Linked DNA regions of Arabidopsis thaliana. The protein of the gene in region 3 interacts with the protein of the main gene of each other region in a pairwise test. Each region holds a gene or a part of one and is shown on either strand. Other genes may lie near its edges.

Region 1 (8,251 bases), on a different chromosome or scaffold from region 3:
AATGTTTCTTTGCTTTCACATAAACATAGGAAAATACAATGGAGAACAATCAGAATTATGTTCAGCTAGCAAAGAAAATAAAACAGATCACCCGAAACAGAGCAAGTAAAGAAACATGACACAAAAAAGCAGAGCACAAGGAAAAAGCTCGGCCTAATAACAAAAATCATTTTCCTTTTATTCAAGGCCGATCGATTTTATGGGCCTAATACAAAAGCCCAATAAGCTACTGATTCGCACAATCAATTTCTTATGAGACCCACCGTAGCAACTTATGTCGGCTATTCACAGCCACCACCACCGCATAAAGTTATGATCGAGAATTCTTCTGAAATTTCTGAGCACAATTTCTTATTTTGTAAATTGATTTGTGGCAAGTTAAAAAAGCTTCGAACATAGAGTAATAATTTGGCTCTCTTGTGAATTGCATTTGGTTTGGACTATATGTTATCTGTGTGGAATCGAATCAAAATTATCAATCTGGTTCGTCGGAGTTGGATCAATAGTGGAAGTGACAATTAATAGTTTGTCGTTTGTGTTTTTATTTCGGTTCGGTTTACATGGTTTTGAAAAATTCAATTGATTTCGGTTGGGTTTGAATTGGAATTAAAGGAGAAAAACACTGAAATCACACACTCGAGGCTTTTTTTGAAAGAGGCGAGTGTGTTTCAAAACAAGCCATTTGGTGGGTTAGAACCCACAGAAAACGTATACACGCGCTCAACACGCGTTTGGTGAGAGTGGTTGTGAAATCGCCCGAGAGGTGAGAGTGGGGTATGACATGGAATGCTCTGATTAGCTTATAAAATAAAAATAGTAGAGATGTAGCTCCTTCCTTCCTATGTTAATATTTATTTACTTCTCTTTTCCAAAGTATCATTTCATTTCATGTACAGTAGTGAACAGTACTAGGAAGCCGTTTAAGGGTCAATTTGAATATTTTGTCATTTGACGTGCATAGCTTAACAATAACACTAATGTCATGGATCTGGACAAAATAATTACTTTAGAAAAGTAATTATTTGCAAACGTGGTTAAACAGAACAATATGTTCAATTTATATGTAGTTGTAATTACAATAACAAATTTGATCATGACAGTGAAAATAAGCTTTTATTTTTATAAAAATACCTAATCTCTTAGTTTTTTTTTCCTTTCTTAGCCAATGGATGAGGATGACACGATAATGATAATCAAAGATCAACATGGCACGCTCAAGACCGCCTTTAGAAGTCCTCTCTAAATTCTTTCTTCCGATCTCCTAAATATGTTTTGTTTTGGTCAAATAAATTGATAGGTAATACTTAGTGATTATACTATTTGGTTTTTGTTTTATCATTGACTATTTCACTTTTATAAATCAAATACTTATCAAAATTGTTCTTTCCGTATGTATTCATATTTTCTAATATTGTAAAGATTTGTTTCACCTAACATCTGTACCCATCTTTGATCATTGACAAAATATATATTAGAATGGCCTTAGAACGTGTTAGGCATCTTCCTACTATTATCATATTACCTAATCCCCAATTTTATTACATTTTTTAATTTCTAAAAGAGCTTGAATATAATGTCATTTCGAATATCTCTGTTCATCTTTTTTTTTTTCTGTGCGACTTCTGACCCAAAGCCTTCGACGATTTTTTCCAATCTGAAAACTTTTGAATAAGGAACTTAGTCAATGGTCAACACCTTGCTAATTAAACAAAGTTCCATTGATACAATAATGAGATTTTTGTACATTAACGCTTTCATATAGTTTTTGCGATTCAACAGATAATCTTAAAATTAAGGAGTCCTATTGATAAAGTCTTGTTCAAACGTACAAACTCAATCCACACAAAACCTTCATAAAATACGATATAGGAAATAAAGATTGTTTTTGCGTGAGAAAATACTATATGAACTCAAAAGATTTTAAAACAATTTGTATTAATACATAAACAATTGTTGTGATACACCCGTGTAAAATTTTAAGATTGTTTTTTTCTGAAATTCTTCAAGGAAACTTATAGCTTAAAATCTACACTTCAAATACTCTGTTTTAAAGGCATTAAAAATAACTGCGTTTCAGAAAAATATTGAAATTTTAGCTGATCTTTTGCTACAAATTTAAGGAATCTTGGCACCTGCAGAATCTATAACATGTTCATTAAGTAATGCAATAGTTATACAATTATACATTATTTGCATCATACTTATATTATAGTGATATTAACAAACCCATGTTCTCAGCACACTTTTACGTAGAAAAACATAAAAACCCAAATAGGAAGAAGCCACTCATAAGGATAATGGGTTTATATAATTCACAGCAAAGAAAGCCATCGAACTATTCGATTAATTATCCATTCTTTTTTTTTTTAGTTTGAATGTATAAGAACAAAGAGTTGTTACGCATCATGACAATGTCTTAGAAAACAAAAGAAATGAATAAAAAAGTAAAACGAAAAATAAAAAGTGAGGATGAAGTTGTTGAATGAGTTGGCGAGGCGGCGACTTTTTCATACATTCCATTTACTTAATTCCTAAAGTCCTTCTCACATCTCTTTGTTATATAATGACACCATAACCATTTCTTCTCTTCACAATCTTTACAAGAATATCTCTCTTCTACAGTAAACAAAAAATGGCAATGAATGGTTTGTCCAAGATGGCTGTAGCCGCCGCAACTGCTCTTCTCCTAGTTCTGACCATTGTCCCGGGCGCAGTAGCTGTGACTTACACTATTGAATGGACCACTGGTGTGGACTACTCAGGTTGGGCTACCGGAAAGACTTTCAGGGTTGGTGACATTCTAGGTAAATCATCATCCGAACCACATTACTTATAACTTTTATAATTTTCAGATAGATTCAAGCTATACATCAAAAAGTGTAGTAACCTAATCTAACCCAAGTGTAGTTTAATATTGGTTTCGGTGGTTCAAATTAAATTAAGTTTGCTTTAGTACGTAATACCAAAAAAAAAAAAATGTGTGATTTTTTTTTTGTTTATTTGGTCTCAGGTTCTTAAATATAGAAAGTTAGAAACAGTAAAAAGAAAGAAGAAGAAACAATTTTTTGATTTGCTTGTTTTACTTCTTTATAAATTTCTACCATGTTGAAATTGAGATAACTTATTCTACAAGAAATCTCAGATTTGGTAACCAGATAATTTGGGACTCTTGTCTTATAATCTTCCTAGGTATGGAGAACTCTTTACTTAGGTTTTAATTTATTTATTTATGGGGATATGAAACAGAGTTCAAGTATGGTTCTTCCCACACGGTGGATGTGGTTGACAAAGCCGGATATGATGGCTGCGACGCCTCCTCCTCGACTGAGAACCATTCCGATGGAGACACCAAAATCGATCTTAAGACTGTAGGAATAAACTATTTCATCTGTTCTACACCTGGTCACTGCAGAACCAATGGCGGCATGAAGCTAGCCGTTAATGTCGTAGCCGGTTCTGCCGGACCTCCGGCCACTCCCACGCCACCTTCTTCAACTCCGGGAACTCCTACCACACCGGAATCACCTCCGTCTGGCGGATCACCCACACCCACCACACCCACACCTGGTGCAGGTTCAACTTCTCCTCCTCCTCCACCAAAGGCAAGTGGTGCGTCTAAGGGAGTGATGAGTTACGTTTTGGTGGGAGTCTCGATGGTTTTGGGTTATGGTTTGTGGATGTAATTGGTTTAGAGAGCCAGGGTGGAGTCAGTGCTTTTGCCTTTTTAAATTATTTTGGTTTTTGGTTGTAAGAGAATTTGGGTTTGTGTGCCACGTCAGAAGCTCTTCATTATTCGTAGGATTTTTATTATCTCGGCATTTGATTATCGTTATCATCATCATCATCACATTCACTTATTCTCTTGTTGTAATAAATTATACTATTAATTTTCATTTTCGTTCATGTGGAACCACTCCATCGTTCGTAATTATCATCTGTTCTCTTCTTCATATTCGTTTTTAATTTATCGGTTTTGGAATCACATGTACAGTTGTTTTCCACACCATCCCTTCGTATTTTACATATATAGTATGTTATCAAGAATGAATCACGTACAACAACAACTAAGAGATATGATCAATTCCTGAAAGAAATGATTTCTAGCAATGTGTTCAAACTCTAGTTGTTGCTATGGTTTAAACGATCACATAAACAAATGCAACTTGGGATAGGTAGTATTCGATTAGCTGTACCTAGCTTTTAAATTAAAAACTCTTATCTTATATTTTTTATTTAGATTGGTTATATATTTGAAGAATTCTGGACCGAACTCATCTCTCCATAAGAGTCAAAACCTTATATTGACGCAAACTTAACTACCCTTTAGATATGATAGAACTTAAGTTATATATGATAATATGAAGATAAGTTTCTCTAATTTTCTTATAAATAGTATTGTCAAAGACTTTTTATTTGACCCATGACCATGAGTACCTTGTCAATAACACATGAGCAATGCCAATGGAATTTGACCCTAATCAGGAGTGTCCTTTACGGACATAACTCAAAAATAATTAAGAAGAGGGGACTTTTCAGACATTCCCTTAATTAAGCTTAATTTCTCATTAGTCGTTCTCATGCCTCTTTGTTATATAAACCATCACCGTTACCATTATTTCCTCCTCTTCACATCTTTAATTTAAAATAGCTCTCCACGTTTAAACCTCAAGATGGCAACGAATGGTCTTTTCCTTGTTATGGGCTTCATTGCTATCGACCCAGGCCCATCTGCAGGCCTGCAGTCTCTATGACTTAATTAGAGGCTAATCAATGGGCCAATTGCGTGGACTACACAGATTGGGTTGCGGGAAAGACTTTCAGGGTTGGTATTATAACTTATCGTACAAGAAAACTCTGTTTCGTTTTAGGTAAGTGGCTAATGTTAATCTTTGAAACAGAGTTCAAGTACGGTGGATGTGAATGTGGTTGACAAAGCCACATATGAATGGAGACGGCTCATCCGCGACAGAGAACCATTCCGATGGAGACACCAAAGTTGATCTGACGACAGTAGGACCAAACTATTTCATCTGTCCTACACCCGGTCACTGTCTTGGTGACATTACGGTCGTAGCCTCTCCTTTCTCTCCTCCACCCCAGACTCGCAGCCGTCTGATGGAACACACGAAGCTGATTCAGGGTCAACTACGCCATCAAATGATGCATCAAGCGGACTAATAGTAATAAGCTACGTGGTGGACTGGTGGTCGGGATGTCGTTGGTGTTGGCTTGCAATGTATGGATTATCAAGGTGTGTGTGAATTGATGTGTGAGCCACTGATCAGCCCTTCGTATTCGACATGATTATTGTGCTTAACTGAATTTAATAACAGATTAGTGAGAGCGCTAATCAGTTTTCTGATACATCAAATTAACAATTAGCCAGAGTGTAAGAATCTAGACTATAGTATAAGCGTGTTGATTGTAGTAGGGCTTTGTAGATCTAATAATTATTTTGTTGCTGTAGAATAACTCGTGACTGCTTGTGAAGGCCGTCTCTATTATTCACGCAGAATTTTCACAGCTATAAACAATCAAAGTAACTTCTTTTTTTTAATACACAAACAAATGAAGTTTTAACCTCGTGTAGAGTCTTTAACAGAGACTGCTTTTGAACTTGTGGACATCACCAAATGATTATTATCCCCACACAATAAGATCAATCACCCACACAGTAACTAAAAAACCTGAACGTTGTTAGAAAACAATTCCATTTTAGCTACACACTCCTTGCAACCAAATTGAGATTTATCCCAACCTCTCCCCGTCTCTCTCACACTCTTTTTCTTGTTTTAATATAACAAGTAACAACTCGGTGTTGAAGTTGTTTCTTAGAACCACCAAACACAAGAAAAGGTCAACGAAGAGGTAGAACCGAAAGCGTTGAAGATGAAAAGTGAAGAGAGAGAGAGAGTAGAGCAACCTTGTGTTATCCTGAGGTTAGAAACTCTTCTTACTATTTAATATCATCATAAGGGCTATTGATTGAGAAGAGCGTAGGAGGGTAAGTCCTCAAGATGCATTATGTCTTCCAGCATCAGCTCTCTCTCCAGCTGTCTCCTTGTTGATTTCATCACCGTCTATGTCATCCAATATATTCCAAGACAAAGCATCAGCATCGCATGTATGTATGTAAATGACCAAACTAATGTCAATGCTTTGTAACGACTATTACTTACGTTAAACTCCATGTATGAGGCACGCATTGAAAGCCATTGCTGATCCATTAGCTTGAATGCAATGCAATAAAGAAGGTCAAATGCAGATTCGTTCTCTGCTTACACAAATACCCAATACATTTATCTAAATCAGTGTCCACATCTAATTGAAGCACCATGTGTGGAAAAAGGCTTTTCATTATGATAAGACCACAGCATTGTGTGAGAGATTACCAGAAAGAAATTTCAGAAAAGTTGCCCCAACAATTGTTCGCGGTTTCACTGTACATTTTAAAAGTATATACATCAGAATGACAGACTATGAACAATATGAGACATCTGCCTAATGCATGCAAGAAGATTCTATAGTAGTTATGTGCTTCCCAATCCTATGACTCCAGATGTCAATAGCAACTATCACAATCATGAATCATGGTAGGTAAGTAAATTCATGTGGCTGTATACCTGCTTCAAGGTCAAGCATTTGGATGAGCATGAATGTTAAGTTGATACCAGCGACAGCAAAGGGGTATTCCCACACAGACCGATCCCCAACCTGTTTCCTCAGAAGGTCCTGGAAGGATTTCTGCAGCATATAGACATGTGCCGTTTAAACTAAGTGACATAAGTGGATCAGCAAGATCTATAAGAGGTGAATTCATGAATAACTGATTGATCGATAATTTATGATGCATGGAAAGTGAAATTTATAAAGGAAAATCAGCTCATTCTTTTCATGAAATGTTTGTATATGTAGTGTATAGGTATACCTGAAAGTTCCTGGCAAAGTACAGCAAGTTTTCAAGAGATATGAAACCACCACCCCTGCCAGATGATGCACTGTAAGTCAGAGAACATATGCAAGAAATACCTGTAACATAAATGATAAGGAAAGTCCGTGTTATACCTAAAATCTGTTGACGGATCTTTGCCCTGCCAACCCATCTCTTTCCACTGCTCAGATATTAATCCATGAAGCTCTTCTTCAGGAAAGGAAAGTTTCCACAGCTCCCTTAGAGCTTCCTAAGAGCATATGACGAAGTAACAAAGTAATCATCAAAGCTGGTACATTTGAATTTATGATGCTAGCTTACAGTAAAAAGGCCACGGGACGAAAAGATACAATATTCTACCATCTTCAAATGATGGTTCAAGTCCAATTTTGTTTATGAGAAATTCTGAAAGCTTAAAACCCCTCAAGAAAAGTGTACCTGATGCAAGGGTATTGTGCTATCATAAGCTACGTCAATGCGGTTCTGCAAACTCTGCAAGCATTCCTCCTGCAAATTCCAACAATAGGGTATTAGTAATTAGGTACCTGGATACACTTAGAAGTAAGGCAGCTAATCTAAAGAGGACAAACACGTTATTTATAATGTAGGGAACAATAAATGTAAACTTCCAACTCGAACAGTGGAAAGTCAAGTACCTGAGCAGGTGTTAGATCAAACGTAGAATTTGCGTCACTATCTCTTCTCTGAGCACAAACACAAGAAAGACCTCGGCCTAACCAAGCTGCTGATCCAGGCACAGCCTCAGCTATAACAAAACAAATAAACTCCAGTGTTATTGGAGCTACAGTGGTTTCAACAGAGGAATAGTACGCATAGGCACACTAGTCTAAATCTCTAATCCATAAAACTCTATAAAACCACACAGAAACAAAGCTTATAGACAACTCTATACTACGAAATCTGCCATATACTAAGGTTTAACATCAACCACAATTGTAGAGAGATAAGCTTAGATACTAAGAGAAGCAGAAACGCTTTTCTCAATGAAACGCTAAGAGATGATGAAAATACCAGATGATGAATTGTAAACGCTTCCTCGTTCGAGACCCTGAGAAATCCGCCTAACAGCTACGAACGAGCCTTCTCTATCATCCATCTCTCACTTTCTCTTATTCGCTCCTCCGATTCACTTCAAAATCTCCATCCTGCGAACAATCAAATGCAGAACCAGATAATTTCATCAGCAATCGAATTTTTAAAATCAAATCAATAAGAAACCAATCGGAAACCTGATCAACTACTACAGACACAATGCGAATCACAAAAAACGTCACGATTGATACAGCGAGCTTCAAAAAC
Region 2 (7,396 bases), on a different chromosome or scaffold from region 3:
TTCATACCTAACAGTTTCTTATGTGCTAAAATATACTTAATCGTTTTTTAAAATTCAAATTTCATACCTAAATTTACTAAATCATGCGAAATTTTATATGATATGACACGTAAAATATATATTATTTATCATATTTTTCACTATGGTTATTGTTGATAGTAGCCATGACCATATCAATAATTGGTAAGAGTCAAATTTGGTTTATGTTATGACGTTTGTGAACAGTTTAGAGTTTAGAATTGATTTATGTTTGAATATTTATGAACCGTTTGATGTTTGGATATTTATGAACAATTTTTCTTACAAAAAAAAGTGTGTAATTTATACATAGAACTAGAAAAGAAAAAAAAGGAGACTATAAGTGACTTCACTATGATCAAATTACCATATTCCAGCTTCCAGTTTTATTGCAAACCACTATGCCATTTAATTCAATTCTAGGTAAGGATCCACACTGTATAGCACAAAGAAATATATGCTTAATATGTTAGCGTAATTTATAATATGTTTAAGTGAAGGCCAATTATATGTGGACTATATAATATGTTTTGTCTCTGCAATAAACCACGTCGTTTTGTTCTTACAGAGCAAATAAAACAAGACATTAACGCTGTAAAAAAGTTTTTGTTAACCTATTTAACGATATGACTCAAATGACAAGTCAACACAAACTTTGTCATTTATTTCGAAAGTAAAAAAAAAACTTTACGATTTATTTGTCTTCCGTGAAGTTCAAGATTAAATCATCCCAAATTTAAAATTTCATGATTTTTTTGATATTTTTGCCATTAAAATTCTTTATGGTTTAGGTATAAATACATTTATTTTGATGTCAAAAACAAAAAATACATTTTAAAAAAAAAAAGTATTAGGTTTTATAACTATAAATTGGTTAATTGGGTGGCCAGGACCAATCTTACAACAAATGAAAGTATATGAAAATAGGTAGGTTTGAAAGAAGCAGCAAGTACACATACATAGTTGTTTGTGTATAATCATTGGGATGTATAAATTTTGTTGTAGATAATTTGATTATAAAGCAAAAATAACACTCTACCCATCGTCAAAATAAGACATGTTCGAGATCCATTTCAAGCAACATATTTGTGTGTTCGTTTAATCAAAGTGATGCAGAAAGCATTTGGGAGTTTCATCTATAAGATGTTAGCCTTTTACGAGTATATGACGAGGGGACTTAACAGATTTCATCTGTTGCTTGTAAGGCTTCCGTTTGGAAAGCAGTGTCACTTCCACCTTTTCATCGAAATTGTGTACAATTTCCTTTATTTTATTCAATGGTTGTATTTGAATGGTCTCATGTATTATATATCATGTAACACTCTTATAATCTAATATATTTGATTTGGTGTTAAAGAAAAAAAAAAGCAAAAATAAGAATATAATTGAAATAGACAAACACATTCTAGCCCAGCCCAGTCTCAGACCCAACAAGAAACGGGTAACTGATATTATTTAATTTAGGAAATTTTGTTAACAAACTACAAAGCATCCGGGCCAAACCTATCACATAGTTAACCAGATCATCAACACATAATGTTCTCTAATACTTCATCATCAACCTTTTATTTTTTCTTGTGATAAAAGTTTTTCAAAATAATACAAAGATTAAATATTTCTAGTAATAATGTAATAAGACGACAAAAATGTAAATAATACATTAAAAAAAAAAAACTTACAAGCCCATTAATGATCCATATGGGCTACATTATTTAGTTACTGATGCCCATTTAGTCTAACCAAATAATCTGCTCAAGAAACTTGGTATGAGTCAATTAGTGGCAATACTTCCAAATTGGTTAAACAACCAAGTAAACAACTAGTATGTTGATGAACCTTTCTGTTTTTTCATCTTCTTTTTCCTTTTTTGCGTCTGATTATCACAACTTATTAATTTAGTATGCGTGCAGGCATAAATGGCGCTGCTTGATTTGCAAGAGTGGACCTATGATCTCACATCAGAAACTGAACAACAATTATTTGACTTTTATTGTGAGATTTTCACATATCTGTTTTCAAGATTTTGTTTTAATGATTGAAATTCTGTTAATCTAATAGTATAAAGATTGGTATAGTAAGCTTAAGCACATGATACAATAATATACATCATCATTACATTATCACCAACATTTAATTAAAATGTGTAACAATCAGTTGGCCCACCTTAGGAATATTTTTAGAGACACTCCGTACTATTATTATTTGATAGTTTTCTTGCACGTCGTTGATCTGCTCACCAATTAATTAATTTGTTTTTGATCTTAGCTGATTAATAAAATTATACGATATTTCTTTGATTTAAGAATATATATTTGTTTCAAGAAATATAATTTTGTCTAATAATATACATTATGTGGATATCGAATATTAGTGAGAAATAAATCAAATCATTAGCCTACATATATCATTAGTTAACTACCGCAAAACGTTTATCTAAAGCAACTTAAGTCAAATATTTCGGAAAAGTCTACTAGTTTGAATCTATAAAATTTGGTCTAGTGGGCGAAAATTCAATATAGCTTTGGTAGATTATGCTGTAGAATAATGAAAAAATACATTTCAATAAGAATTTCAAAATAATGAAATATATATGTCATTATAATGATCAAAAACATGTTATTTTGTCATAAACTTAATTTGAAACACACATGGCATATGATCTTAAATCACCCTAGCTACTGTAATCTTTCTATGCAATAATTATTATTTATTTACAAAATGATTGAATCGATCGTCTAAGAAACATGACATATGCAATGCAGAGAGTTGAAAATGAATGTACTTTTTTGTCGATATGTCACCTTATGCAAGTTGTGAATGCAATAATTGTTATCGGACAATTCTGAAGGTACAAGTATTAACACTGTCATTATTCATAGGTCCCGTGTACGTATCCAATTTAGTTTCGTCGATTCCATTTCATATTTTTTTTTAATAAAAAAATCTTAAATAAAACAGAAATAGATTATTCACCTAATCTTAAACAAAAACTTAAAACATATTTCATCATAAATTTGTAACCAGAATTACACAAAAAAAGGGTTTAAAAGTGATCACTATTCATAGTTCAACTGCTAAACCAAATCGTTGACTTGAATGGTTCAACAATCTTTCTCCAGCTATGGTGAAAAATGATTTCAAAGTCCAATGATGTTGAAAAAGAACTCTCATAGAACCACCATTGCTCACACTCAATAAAGCTTGGATCAAATCGTCATCACCAAATAAATGTCTCTTCCCAATGGAGAAAGAGTTGCTCTTGTCAGATAATATGTACTTCGCCTCAGCACCACACACTGTTTTAGAGTGCAAGCGCTGGTAGTAAGAAGCAGTGAATAAGCTTGCTTTCTTATCAATGGAAAAGGTGGTTGTTGTGTCCTCGGTGATCAAACTAAGAACTGTGTTTGCCTTAGTGATTATCCGGTTCACAAGATCCAAAGTTAACTCAAATCCAAATCGCCAAAAGTCATTTCCGAATACAGCAGAAAAACTGAGAATTGGATTTGCAAACAACCCCACAATTGTACTGATTCTGGCCCGTTCGGATAACATGTTCAACTGAGCATGGTTGTAGTCATTTCGATTGGACAGGGACACATTGCAAAGAATCAAGGAGGTAAGCAAACTCTAGATGTCATTAGAACCCAACATCAATATAAATATAATATTGCTTACTCTCTAAAGATGTCCAACTTGTGCTTACTCTCTAGGGATGTCTACTACAAAAATATAATATAAATATAAATAAAATTGGGTGCACAAAAAAATAATATAAATAAATATATAATACCACAAATATTTAGAATATATATTAATCCAATATAAATTAAAAATTAAAAATTAAATTATGTTATTACTTTGGGTTCTCTATTTTTAATTTCTGATTTATATATCCATCGTTTAAAAAGTAGTTAATTGTTTTCTGGTTTATTCTCTTAAATATTTAATAAATTACATCTTTCCCAAAGCATAGTTAACTAAAATCAAACGATTTTATTATATTTTCTAAATTAGTGAGACATAGAGAAGATATAAAAAAAAAATTATATAGAAGTTCTAAAATTTTCGTATCATTTCCGTTTTGGAGATCCTATTTACAATTTAGAAGAAAATATATTCAATTAAACTCTTAATCCACGCTACATTTTTTTTCTTTTGGTTCCTCTCTCCTTTTAGAAAGAAAATATCTGAATCATCTTAATTCTCTCTCAATCTCCGAACCCTAATTCTCTCATCTTAATCCCCTTTCAGTCTCCCTCAAAATTTAGAATGGAGACTGAGATGAGAGAATTATATCTGACTCTTAGGAACTTCGGTTTCAAAGAAAAATTCGTATCAATAATGACTTCCTGGAGAAGATAAAATTCTTGGTCACTCTCCTCTGAGCCGAAGAGTTTTTTGAATTTCTTGTTTATGATTAGAACTCTTTTGAGACGTTTAACCGGAATCTTGAATTTATATAAGAAGATAGATATATCTTGATAATTTTGTCGAATCAATCGATGTCTTTGGCTTGAACCTTCTATCGAAAGACATTATCGAAAGACATTATGACTTCTCTAAAACTATAAGCTTACAAATCCCACATGTCAGACTTTGTAGTCATCTAATTGGAGCTACGTTGAATTGATACTACAAATTTTGTTCAAATGAAAAGTTATCATATAATTGCAAAGAATATATTAGATGTGTGTTCAATAAATAATTAAATATGATTTGAAATTAACTTTTAACTGTCAAAAATAATTATATTTTTAGAAAATTAAAAAAAAAGTCAACAATTTTAGACTTCAACTCTTACGGTTGTGGGCCGAGTCAACCGATGCCCGTCATAAACGTCCTCTTACATGCTCCCAAAACAAAGTCAACTCAACTATCTAATCGGAATATATATTTGAGTTTCATTATCTTTAATAAAGTTGAATATAAACCAAAAAAACAAAAACAAAAATCTTTGGTTTTAGATAGTTTACTTGGGTTTGTATGGCTAAGAATTTAGAGTATCTCCGGTTTCTTTGGTACTCGTTTTCTTGTCAAGTAAGAACAATATTTTGTGTTGAAAAGTCATTGTGGAAAAAAACCAGAATAGATTCAAGATGATCGAAGATTCGATAGACAAAACAATGACCTTGTGATATTGATATGACACCGTGATATTTTCACAAAATTCCTCAAGGAAAGATTTATTTTGATTCTTGTTTATGATTAATGACCTTAAACCCCATAAAATGATTGGAGAGAAACCGGAGATGTGAGACAAATGGTTTCGATCTAATACTAAATTTAAGTAAGCGAATTTCGTTTAAAAATAATAATCTAAGTAAGTTGCATTAGAAAACAAATACTAATTTCAAGATGATTAGAGTGTTTAATTATGGTTCCACCTAATCACCGTTTAAAACATTATTATACTAAATCTATTGATATATTTTGCACAAATAAAATAATATATCAATTATACTTGTCCGTTTTGTTTTATATATCATTTAAGATTTTTTTTACACATATTAAAAAAAAATATATTGTTATATCATATTATGTTTGTATCAATTAAAATTAATAATTTAAAAATCAATAACACAGAAAATGTAGTATTAAGAATATTAATATTTTTCCCAAATTTTATTTTAGCATTTACAGAAAGAGATTTTTACCTTAAATAATTACATTTCTTTCTCTTTTTATTCCAATGACCTCATACAAAATTGTAACCTGGTGTGTCTATATATGTAAACTTTAATATTCCTGAAAAATATGAGATTCCATTGGGCCGCGAAAGAATCTTTATAATTTTATTCCTGATATTTAGTTGTATTTTTTGTTTCTTTCCTTGTGGAGAGCCAAAAAGTCTCCAAAGTCTTCACGTCACCCTCTTCCTCAATCTCTGCACCCACCCCTCCTCCTTCTATAAGTACTACTCTTCATATCTCTCTCTACCAAAATATCAAAACACGAGACAGATTTGATTCCATTTTTATTACTGTTACTATCATCCAAACCCTTGGTATTTGTAGCCATGAGTCTTGTTTCAGATCTCATCAACCTTAACCTCTCAGACTCCACTGACAAAATCATTGCTGAATACATATGGTTCGTCTTCTTCTTTTGTTTCTTTCATAAAAATCGTTTTTTGTTTGTGTATATGTTCTCGTATCAAACCTAAATCTAATGGGTTCGTGTTGTTTTTTCAACTTTTGACTCTGTTTTACTTTTTGGGATTGTATGGATTATAGTTTTGGTTTTGTGTCTGCCTTTGGTTGTTCTTAGTCCTCTAGAGCCAATTTGGTTTTGTTTATTCTTCAGATCTATGTTTAATTTGCTGATAAATCTATTAGGCTCCTGAATCTGCCAATACTGCAAAACTTTTTATCCCCTGATGATGTTTGCTCTGTTTTTTGGCTCTGTTCTGGCTCTGTTTTTGGCTCTGTTTTTAAACATAACGATTGAATTTTCTGAAATATTTTGTCTCTTGTTGGTGTTCTTTTAATACCAAATCAGGGTTGGTGGTTCTGGAATGGACATGAGAAGCAAAGCCAGGGTAATTTTTCATTCTCTAGATAATCTTGTGAAAAGGTCAACTTTTGTCTATCTCTATTTTTGGTAGTAATTCTGGTTTATATATGTAGACTCTACCTGGACCAGTGACTGACCCTTCGCAGCTACCAAAGTGGAACTATGATGGTTCAAGCACAGGCCAAGCTCCTGGTGAAGACAGTGAAGTCATCTTATAGTTAATAATCTTTCTTTCTTGATCTTAAATCAGATTCTTCTCATTGGTTTTTTTTTCGATTCTTGTTTACTAATCTTTTGTGTTTTGTACATCTTTGTTTAGCCCTCAAGCCATATTCAAGGATCCTTTCCGTAGAGGAAACAACATTCTTGTGAGTTTCTTTTAGTTTTGACCTTTTTTGTTGCAGCCATGCTTTATTACATCCATCTTAACTTAATGGTTTTGATCAGGTCATGTGCGATGCGTACACTCCCGCGGGTGAACCAATCCCGACTAACAAAAGACACGCTGCGGCTAAGGTCTTTAGCAACCCTGATGTTGCAGCTGAAGTGCCATGGTATGGTATTGAGCAAGAATACACTTTACTCCAGAAAGATGTGAAGTGGCCTGTTGGTTGGCCTATTGGTGGTTATCCCGGCCCTCAGGTGAAGAAGATGGATATATAATCGGTTTTGTATCTTTTCCGTTGTCGGTTATTCTAAAATTTTAGGCGAAAATGTATTGCAGGGACCGTACTATTGCGGTATTGGAGCAGACAAATCTTTTGGCAGAGATGTTGTTGATTCTCACTACAAGGCCTGCTTATACGCTGGGATCAACATTAGTGGCATCAATGGAGAAGTCATGCCGGGTCAGTGGGAGTTCCAG
Region 3 (8,064 bases):
ATGAAGGGATCTGAAGCTATGCTTCCTTGTCAAAACCGTTCTGCTCCTTCTCTTCACTCAAACGCTCTGTCTAAGAGTGTTTCCTACTGGGGTTGGAGATTTGCAAACACAAAGTTCGAGTCTTGGGCTATAGAAATGGCTGCTTTACATGAACCCACTTGGAGAGAAGCTGGCATTTTTGAAGCAGTCATGGCATCCATATACAGAATCCCTAAAAACCCGGATCTTATTCTGGGTATTGCTGAGAAATGGTGTCCTTACACCAAAACCTTTGTTTTCCCTTGGGGTGAAACAGCTGTCACACTTGAAGATGTTATGGTGCTTTCAGGTTTCTCTGTTTTGGGTTCACCTGTTTTTGCCACTCTGGATAGCTCAGGAAAGGAGGTTAAGGCGAAACTGGATAAAGAGTGGAAGAAGATTAAGAAAGCTAAAGTCAATTTCGTAACACAAGTAGCATGGATGGAGAGATTCATGGACAGTGGTGATGAGCTTGAGCATGTGGCTTTCCTCGTCTTGTGGCTTAACTATTTTGTGTTTCCATCACGCTTGTATCATCTCTATAAAGCTGTTTTCCCAATTGTTGTTCATCTTTCAACTGGTACTAGGATTGCTCTTGCCCTTGCTGTTCTTGCACACTTATATGCTGAGCTAAGTCTCTTAAAAAAACACATCACAGCTTTCAGTGAATCGACGAGTACGGCTAGAATTGATCTCACTGCCCTGTTTAAGTTGCTTCAAGTTTGGACATGGGAGAGGTTCAAGGAACTACAGTAAAACCCAATCCATTGCTGAAAGGTGAGCCAAGATTGGCTCTTTGGCATGGCCTCTTACAGAGAACCAGCGATGCGAGACAGATTCTGGATAGCTTGAAAATCGACAGTTTTGAGTGGCGTCCCTACACAAAAACTGAGAAAGAGTGAGAGTTTCCTAAGTTTTACCCCGAGAAAGCGGTGTGGATTCCTGCTAGTCCCAATCTTGATGTTGAATTTGTCTCCTTTGCTCGATGCATTAAGGTGTCTCAGCTTGTTGGAATTGACAATGTGGAGCATTACTTTCCCAATCGAGTGGCTTCACAGTTTGGGATGCTTCAAGATGTTCCTTGTGCTGTTAACCAGAACAACCTCTCACAGGAGGCAGCTTGGAATGATTACAATAAGCCTATTAACGATTTAGCATTATTCATTCCTTCACGTTCTGCAATACCTCGTGTTACTCCAACGTTCTGCGAATGGTGGAGGAGGTCGTTTCCAGAATTCCAGACTTCTTCTAAGGATAAGGATGCTAATGAATCAGCTGAAACATTGAAAGCTAGAGACAGAAAAAGCCTAGGGGCTGATACTAGTTTTGTTCCTTCTGGCTCCAAGATGAACAAGAAAGGCAAGGATAATATGAAAATTCATGCTCAGGATTCGACAAACACAAGACGCAAGAACATAAAGCAAGAATAAGAGACGCAAGTACATGAAGAAAGCTAGTGAAAACTGTAACAATGAATCAACTGAAATATTGAAATAAGGAAACATCATAGGTGATGATACTAATTTTGTTGCTGCAGGCTCTAAGATGAACAGAACAAGAAAGGATGAAATGAATATAACTGACGATTCAAACAAGAGACGCAATTACAATAAGCAAGCTCGTGACAAAAGACTCAAATACATGAAGCAAGCTCGTGAAAAAAGACTCCAGTACATAAAGCAAGCTCGAAAAAACGGTAACAATGAGTCAGGTGAAACATTGAAATCAAGAAACATCATAGGTGTGATACTAGTTTTGTTCTTTCAGGCTCTAAGGTGAACAGAACAAGCAAAGATGGAATGAAGATAGCTGAGGATTTCGACAAGAGACGCAAGTACATGAAACGAGTTCGTGAGAACAATGAGAGTCATATGGGTCAATGTCATACACATGTTCATTCAGACAATAATGATGAAGATGATAACCTCTCCATTGCTCAATTTCTGAGACTTAATAAGAAGAAGTATAGTGATGTACGGAATAGTGGAAGAGATGCTTCTGAACCGCTTGGTAAGATAAGTAGAGTTGAGGCAGATAACAATGATTTGGGGACTTTTCAAAAGCTTGCTTCAATAAGAGATGAAATTGTACCACCATCAGAAATTGCGCATAGGAATGGAGAGACCGATGAAGCTGGAAGCAGAGCAGGGACGAATATGGATGAGAGCCCATTTGATGAAAACAACTCTTCAGAACCTCCTTTTTGTGCTGACAGAGGAGTAGTTGACATTGTTGTGTCACCACCAGAGACAAGGCAAGCCTGTGATGATGAGCTTGATGTAAATGAAAGTAATGCAGATATGTTTGATGATGGCAGCAAGCAACCAAAGTGTTTGCTCCACGAAGATGGTATCATTGCAGTAGAGGAGCCGAGCTCAGATGAGAAGTTGTGCAGTAGTGAAGCTGAGAAGGAAGATGTTGTTGCTGATGATGACACAATGAACAACATTGAACCAGTCCCTCATCAACAGCATGCTACCAGAGGAACTAATAGAGATGAAACAAGCAGAGCATGCAAGAGTGTGGTTCTGAGCCCAACTGATGAGTCAAACATTCAAATCGCTGTAGGGGAAGGAAGCCAAGGACAGGATTGTGGGCTTCAAGATAATGGCCTCGGAAGTGATGAAACTTCGAAATCCAATGAGCAGTTAGAGGATTTAGAAAAGAGAAAGAATGATTTTGGTGAGGGTGATGCTGCTAATGACTCATACGAAAAGAGATTGGAAGAGCTGAAGGTGCTGGCATTGTCGTTAAAAGAGCATATTACTATGGCACAGAGAAATCTGGCATCTTTGAAAGAAAGGAGTGCCATGAGACAGAGAAAAATTGAAGCAGCTCGTTGGATCTAGGTATTGTTTTGAGCAGATAAAAGAAGGGAGCAGTCAAATGCAAGTAGAATATCAAAGATCAATCTCACCTTTGTGATCTCTAGGTTAAGTATCTTTTTATATTGCTGCTTAGTATCTTTTGAGAACTGGTTTGCTTTTAAGTGTTTTATATTTTAATTGTTATCTTTTGAACACAGTTATGAGCTAATAGCTTCTTAGTAAATGGAACAGCCTGATTCGATCATAAGAAAATACAAATTAGATTTATGAAAGAGATTCTTACAGGAAAACCATGTTCACCTAGGGACCAAGATAACTAAACTCCCTTATAGAGCGTAATCAGTATTATCTACACTATCCTGATTTGTAAATCTAAAATCCATATACCTTATTTCAACAGTGGAGGAGCTTCATCGACAACCGGAGTGTATAACACTAATCATTCAGCTTTCGGTGGTATGTGGTTGCCGCCAGTTGCGATCTTGTATACGTAGAAACAAGTCATGAGAGCACTGCAATACAGACAAAATGTTCATGAGAGCCCTTGAAAGTCTAAATCTTTAGATACAAAAAAAAAAAAAGATAAATACCTGATTCCAGCTACCAAAGCAGCTGGCATAATCTTCTGAGTCTGCAAGAACCGTTGTCCCATGACAAATGTGAGAGCAGCTGCAATGACTGTATAACAAGACATTTTCAAATGAGTATTCAGTCACTAATAATCACTTAAACAGAAGATAAACTGTGAGGCCTTGTAAGTGTTTTGTTTTTGGGTTTGGTTCTGTTTTCAGTGAATGGTAACAATAACCACAATCCACATTTAAAATGTGAATCAGTTTTCATTTATGAGATCACAATACATCAATTAAGCATAGCTTATCTAACTCTTACGCTAGAGCCTACCATGTAAAAACAAATTCTTGATTCCAACAAAGAAGCCAATCAATTTGTTCTGAATTCACCTAACTTGGGTCTAAATTTGGTAATTTTTCTATATTGAAGCTTGAAAGTCATCCCTTTTCGGAATAAAATGCAAATAAGAACTCGAATTCCAGTGGCACCTATCACCAAAATCTAATCCCAGACCAATGAATCCAAACAAAAATTCGATCTAAGCCAATCACGAGAGATAAAAAAAAAAAAACCTGTTTCGAGAAGAGTAGCGAGTAACGATGTCTTCTTCTTCTCGAAAGCTTTAAGGCTGATGAAACCAGCGAGAACGACAAGCAATCCAGTGCCTGCTCCTCCGGCGAGAGATGCAATACTTCCTTTCTTCAGATACCCGATAAATCCTCCGACGATCAGAAGGATCCCGTACGGGATAGTGAAGCAGAAATCGTGCATTATATTCTCGAGCTGGGTTAATGGAATCTGGGTTTTTTTTTTGTTATCTCAGATTGATTTGATAGAGATCGTCTCCGATCAATTTATACGAGTGTGCATTTGGATTTGGAGAACGCGTGGAAGAAGAAGTCAGCTTCGGCGTTTCTTCGTCAACGGTCTCTAGAACGTCAATCAACTGCTCCCACTTTTAGATCTCATGATTTCGTCAAAATTACTAATATACCCCGAATAATTGATTAATGTAATGGCCTTATTAACACTTTAAATTTAATAACACATTACATATTTATCATTACATATTACATAGTAATTTTTTCGTCAAAAAAATCATCACTACTAACTTCCATACTAACATCATGCAACAAGCGATAACGTTAAGCCAAAATTTTATCAACTTACTTATCAGAGACGAAATCAATCACAACTTCATATAATTAATTACCTAGCAAACTGAGAAAATCGGGCCCAATTGTTGCCTCGTAAACCGTGTATTTCTCTCTCGCTTGTAGGCGATTTCTGGTTTTTAGATCTAGAATTTTCTGTTCCGTTCTGCTCTTAACGTCGACAAAGTCTTCTCGCAAGTGATCCAGGAGTGAGTCGTCGTGCCTCTCCGTCAACAAGGGTGTGGTGTTTCCCCGCTAATGTGGTTGTGGCCCTAGATTGGCGGAGGAGGAGCATTGAAGCGGTGGTCTCCCGGTTGTGGACGTTGGGAGTTGCTTTGATTCTCCTTAGGCTCAGTCGTCGACCTGGTAGCTGCATCTACGGCGGAAGTTGAAGGGGATAAGGTGGGTTTGGTGTTGATTTGACAGGTGGGTAGCGGAAGATCTAGGTCTTCAATGGCTGAGACGGGGGTCGGATTTAGTAGTTATGAGTGAGCCACCAGCTTCTAGATTTGCCGTCTCGAGTGAGCCGACTGTCCGGATCGAGTCACGGCGGTTCTGGAATTTCAGGGGTTTCCGGTAAAGGAGAGCGAGGATATCTATAAGTGTGAGGGGTTGCTAGGTCGGGATTTCTCACCGTCGAACCGCTTCGTCGGGGTGACTAATTTTCTGGGAGACTTGTGGCGGGTTGGTGCATCGGGAGAAAGAGATGGTTGGTCGGAAACTGAAATCTTTCACCGGTTGTTTCAATCTTCTGATGGGGTCGCAAAGTTGTGAGTCTTGATTTTGCCAGATCTAAGATTTGGTCACTCTGCGAACGGTGATCAACAAGAGTCGAGCCGCTTTTCTTTTCCGGTGAACTTTTTTCCGATTTCCCTTTTTGTAACTGGGTCACTTGCGTTGTAGACTTTAAGCCCAAGCCCATTTGGATCGAATTTTATTAAAATTATTATTTAAAAAAAAATAAAAATAAATAATTACCTAGCACGAAATCTATCCAATTCCCAGATTACTCTAATTTCTTAATTTTTTAATTAATTACCCTACAACTCTCTTTTTTTTAATGTAATTATACGCGTTAAGATAACCATTAGAAGTCGGTAGAATCGTCTATGTAAAAATGTAATAATTCTCATAATTTATAATCAATAATTTTCTTATTTTAAAATTTTAGATATTGCAAAACATGTTGAAAATATTAGGCATAGGGATCTGATTGGTTTTCTAGAGATTTTTAGAGAAAATAAGGATTTGCATACAAATGATATTAATGGGGTTGCATTTGTTTTGATAAGTTTCTAATTTGACGACATGTTTTGCAAAACTTGGATGTGATACCATCAAAATATTGAGCAAAATGTAGTACATGTAATATATAAGAAACAAAACGGTGAGATGGAATATTGAACTCGAAGAAAAAGTAAAACAAAGCCAAAGAAAATGACAGCTTCAATAAACAAACTATTTGAAAAGAAAATTGTATTATCGTATAAATATCAATGCAATACGTAGAAATAGAATAGAGTTACAATATTTTGAAGCAAAAAATATTGTTCTGCTATTTTATAGGTAATTAAAAAAAAAGTAACAGAAACATAGTTAAAACTTGAAAGTAGCAAAATAATATTCTCTCTGTTTTATATTAGTTGTAGTTTAAGGTTTTTACACACATATTAAGAAATTATAAAAATTTCAATTTAATCTACTTCTTTTATATAAAAATATTATTTATTATAACTAATTTAACCAATAAAAAAATATGATTAAGTATAATTGATTAAAAAGTATTAAATATATTTATTAATTGTATAAAAAATTGAAAACAACACTTATTTTGAAAAAAAGTAAAAATCTTTAAACTACAACTAATATAAAACGGAAGAAATAATAGTTATGCATTAGTGTCATCACTAGGTTCACAACATGGGCATAACTTGCGACGTAGATAAGGACCATACAAGCACGACGCAAGAGTGAAGATGAGGACGCCCAACACCAAGCAGATGTATCCTGTCAAATGATACGTGTCCATCTTCATGTTCACCACACCACCAATCTCTAATCTTTCTTCTTAAGTTTTTTTTTTCTTCTTCTTCTTCTTTTTTTCTCGTGTACTGATTATATTTATATACATGTATTGTCAACACTAACTTTACATTTTTGTAAATACATCAGCAACATTTGGTAAGTTTACATTTTTCATTAAAAATATACTAGAGAATTTTTTATTTGTAAATACTTCAGCAACATTTGGTAAGTTTACATTTTTCATTAAAATATACTAGAGAAAATTCGAAAGTTTACATTTAGGAAAAATTCAAAAATTTTACATCGTATGATTCTTTCTAAAATATTCCACAAACTGATATTTATATATACATTTTTGCAGCCATTTTATGAAATAAATTTTGGAGTTCGAACTTATTTACAATGCCTGCCATTGGCTTTTAATTATTGGTTTTCTTTTGGCAATAAATTGATTAACAAACAAAAAATATTCCAAATATATTCTAATCTCATATATCACGCAAATTTCTCCAAAATTTAAACTAGATTTTGGAAACTATTTAAAACAAAAAATATTTGACAAGCCAAAATACAATTGCAATCCCTTAAAATGACCAAAACGCACCTAAATACATTTACTATCAGTTCACTAAATCTTATTTCTCCAATATTTGAATTAGATTTCGACAACTATTTAAAACAAAAATTTGTTTGATAAACTAAAATATAATTACAATCCTATAAAATATTTATTTAAATTAGCGGTATACCGCGGAGTTTTTTAACGGGACGGGTTTGGCGGAACGGGTTTGGAAGAATGTTACTTAATAACAATTGTAAACTAGAAAATGTAAATATTTTATAGATAAATATAATTTGCAGACTTTTATATATACTAATTTTAAAAAAAAATTGTTTCTGCGGCGAATTATAATCTAGTTATGATATATACTACTAGTAAAAATATCTTCTATAGATATGCGTATTTCATTATTCAGCAGATATTGATGGTTTACATAAAAAGAAGAGATCATTGGTATCTAAAAGGAATAAATCTACAGAGTAATCTATTACTAACCAAATATGTGGATGTGATATATTCTTTTTCTTCAAAGGATATATGATATTACAAGATTTAATCATGGACTCAATTTTCAACATCTAGAACTTCAATCAACTGCTCCCACTTTTAGATCCCATGATTTCGTGAAAACTATATTATACACCCTCACCCGAATATTAACTATTCTATCCCAAAAAAAAAGTAGTTATCTCTTATACTTTAATGTCATTATGTGAATGTTAACACTTTATATAACACTTTAAATTGAATAACATGCATTCTCATCACCATCACATGTTACAAGAATATATATCTTGTAACTAAGAAATGACTCATAAGAAACTCCTTTTGATTTCTAGGAAAGTTACATATTTCTAAGTCGTCTATTTAGTACATATTTTTAGTTGTTATTAGGAAAGTAATT

The links.
Region 1: the proteins of AT1G50740 (region 3) and UCC2 interact in a protein complementation assay, tested with the Arabidopsis thaliana proteins (one large-scale study listed by BioGRID).
Region 2: the proteins of AT1G50740 (region 3) and AT5G37610 interact in a protein complementation assay, tested with the Arabidopsis thaliana proteins (one large-scale study listed by BioGRID).

The regions. Positions count from the first base shown.
Region 1 is NC_003071.7:18,457,614-18,465,864, reverse strand, and holds UCC2 (uclacyanin 2), read left to right. Parts: upstream 1-2,331; 5' UTR 2,332-2,632; coding exon 2,633-2,804; intron 2,805-3,246; coding exon 3,247-3,683; 3' UTR 3,684-4,002; downstream 4,003-8,251. Other genes in the region: AT2G44770 (ELMO/CED-12 family protein), read right to left, coding at 5,979-6,080, 6,180-6,274, 6,393-6,440, 6,624-6,744, 6,929-6,983, 7,066-7,181, 7,370-7,438, 7,588-7,697 and 1 more. UniProt on the Arabidopsis thaliana protein: Probably acts as an electron carrier involved in oxygen activation and/or lignin formation.
Region 2 is NC_003076.8:14,934,295-14,941,690, reverse strand, and holds AT5G37610 (Eukaryotic porin family protein), read right to left. Parts: upstream 3,660-7,396; 5' UTR 3,571-3,659; coding exon 3,079-3,570; downstream 1-3,078. Other genes in the region: GSR 1 (uncharacterized protein), read left to right, coding at 6,035-6,108, 6,517-6,556, 6,645-6,748, 6,851-6,899, 6,979-7,173, 7,256-7,396.
Region 3 is NC_003070.9:18,803,987-18,812,050, reverse strand, and holds AT1G50740 (Transmembrane proteins 14C), read right to left. Parts: upstream 4,380-8,064; 5' UTR 4,191-4,379; coding exon 3,992-4,190; intron 3,525-3,991; coding exon 3,437-3,524; intron 3,359-3,436; coding exon 3,286-3,358; 3' UTR 3,016-3,285; downstream 1-3,015. Other genes in the region: AT1G50750 (aminotransferase-like, mobile domain protein), read left to right, coding at 1-770, 968-1,448; AT1G50745 (plant mobile domain protein), read left to right, coding at 1,564-1,714, 1,786-2,867. UniProt on the Arabidopsis thaliana protein: May be involved in free fatty acids export.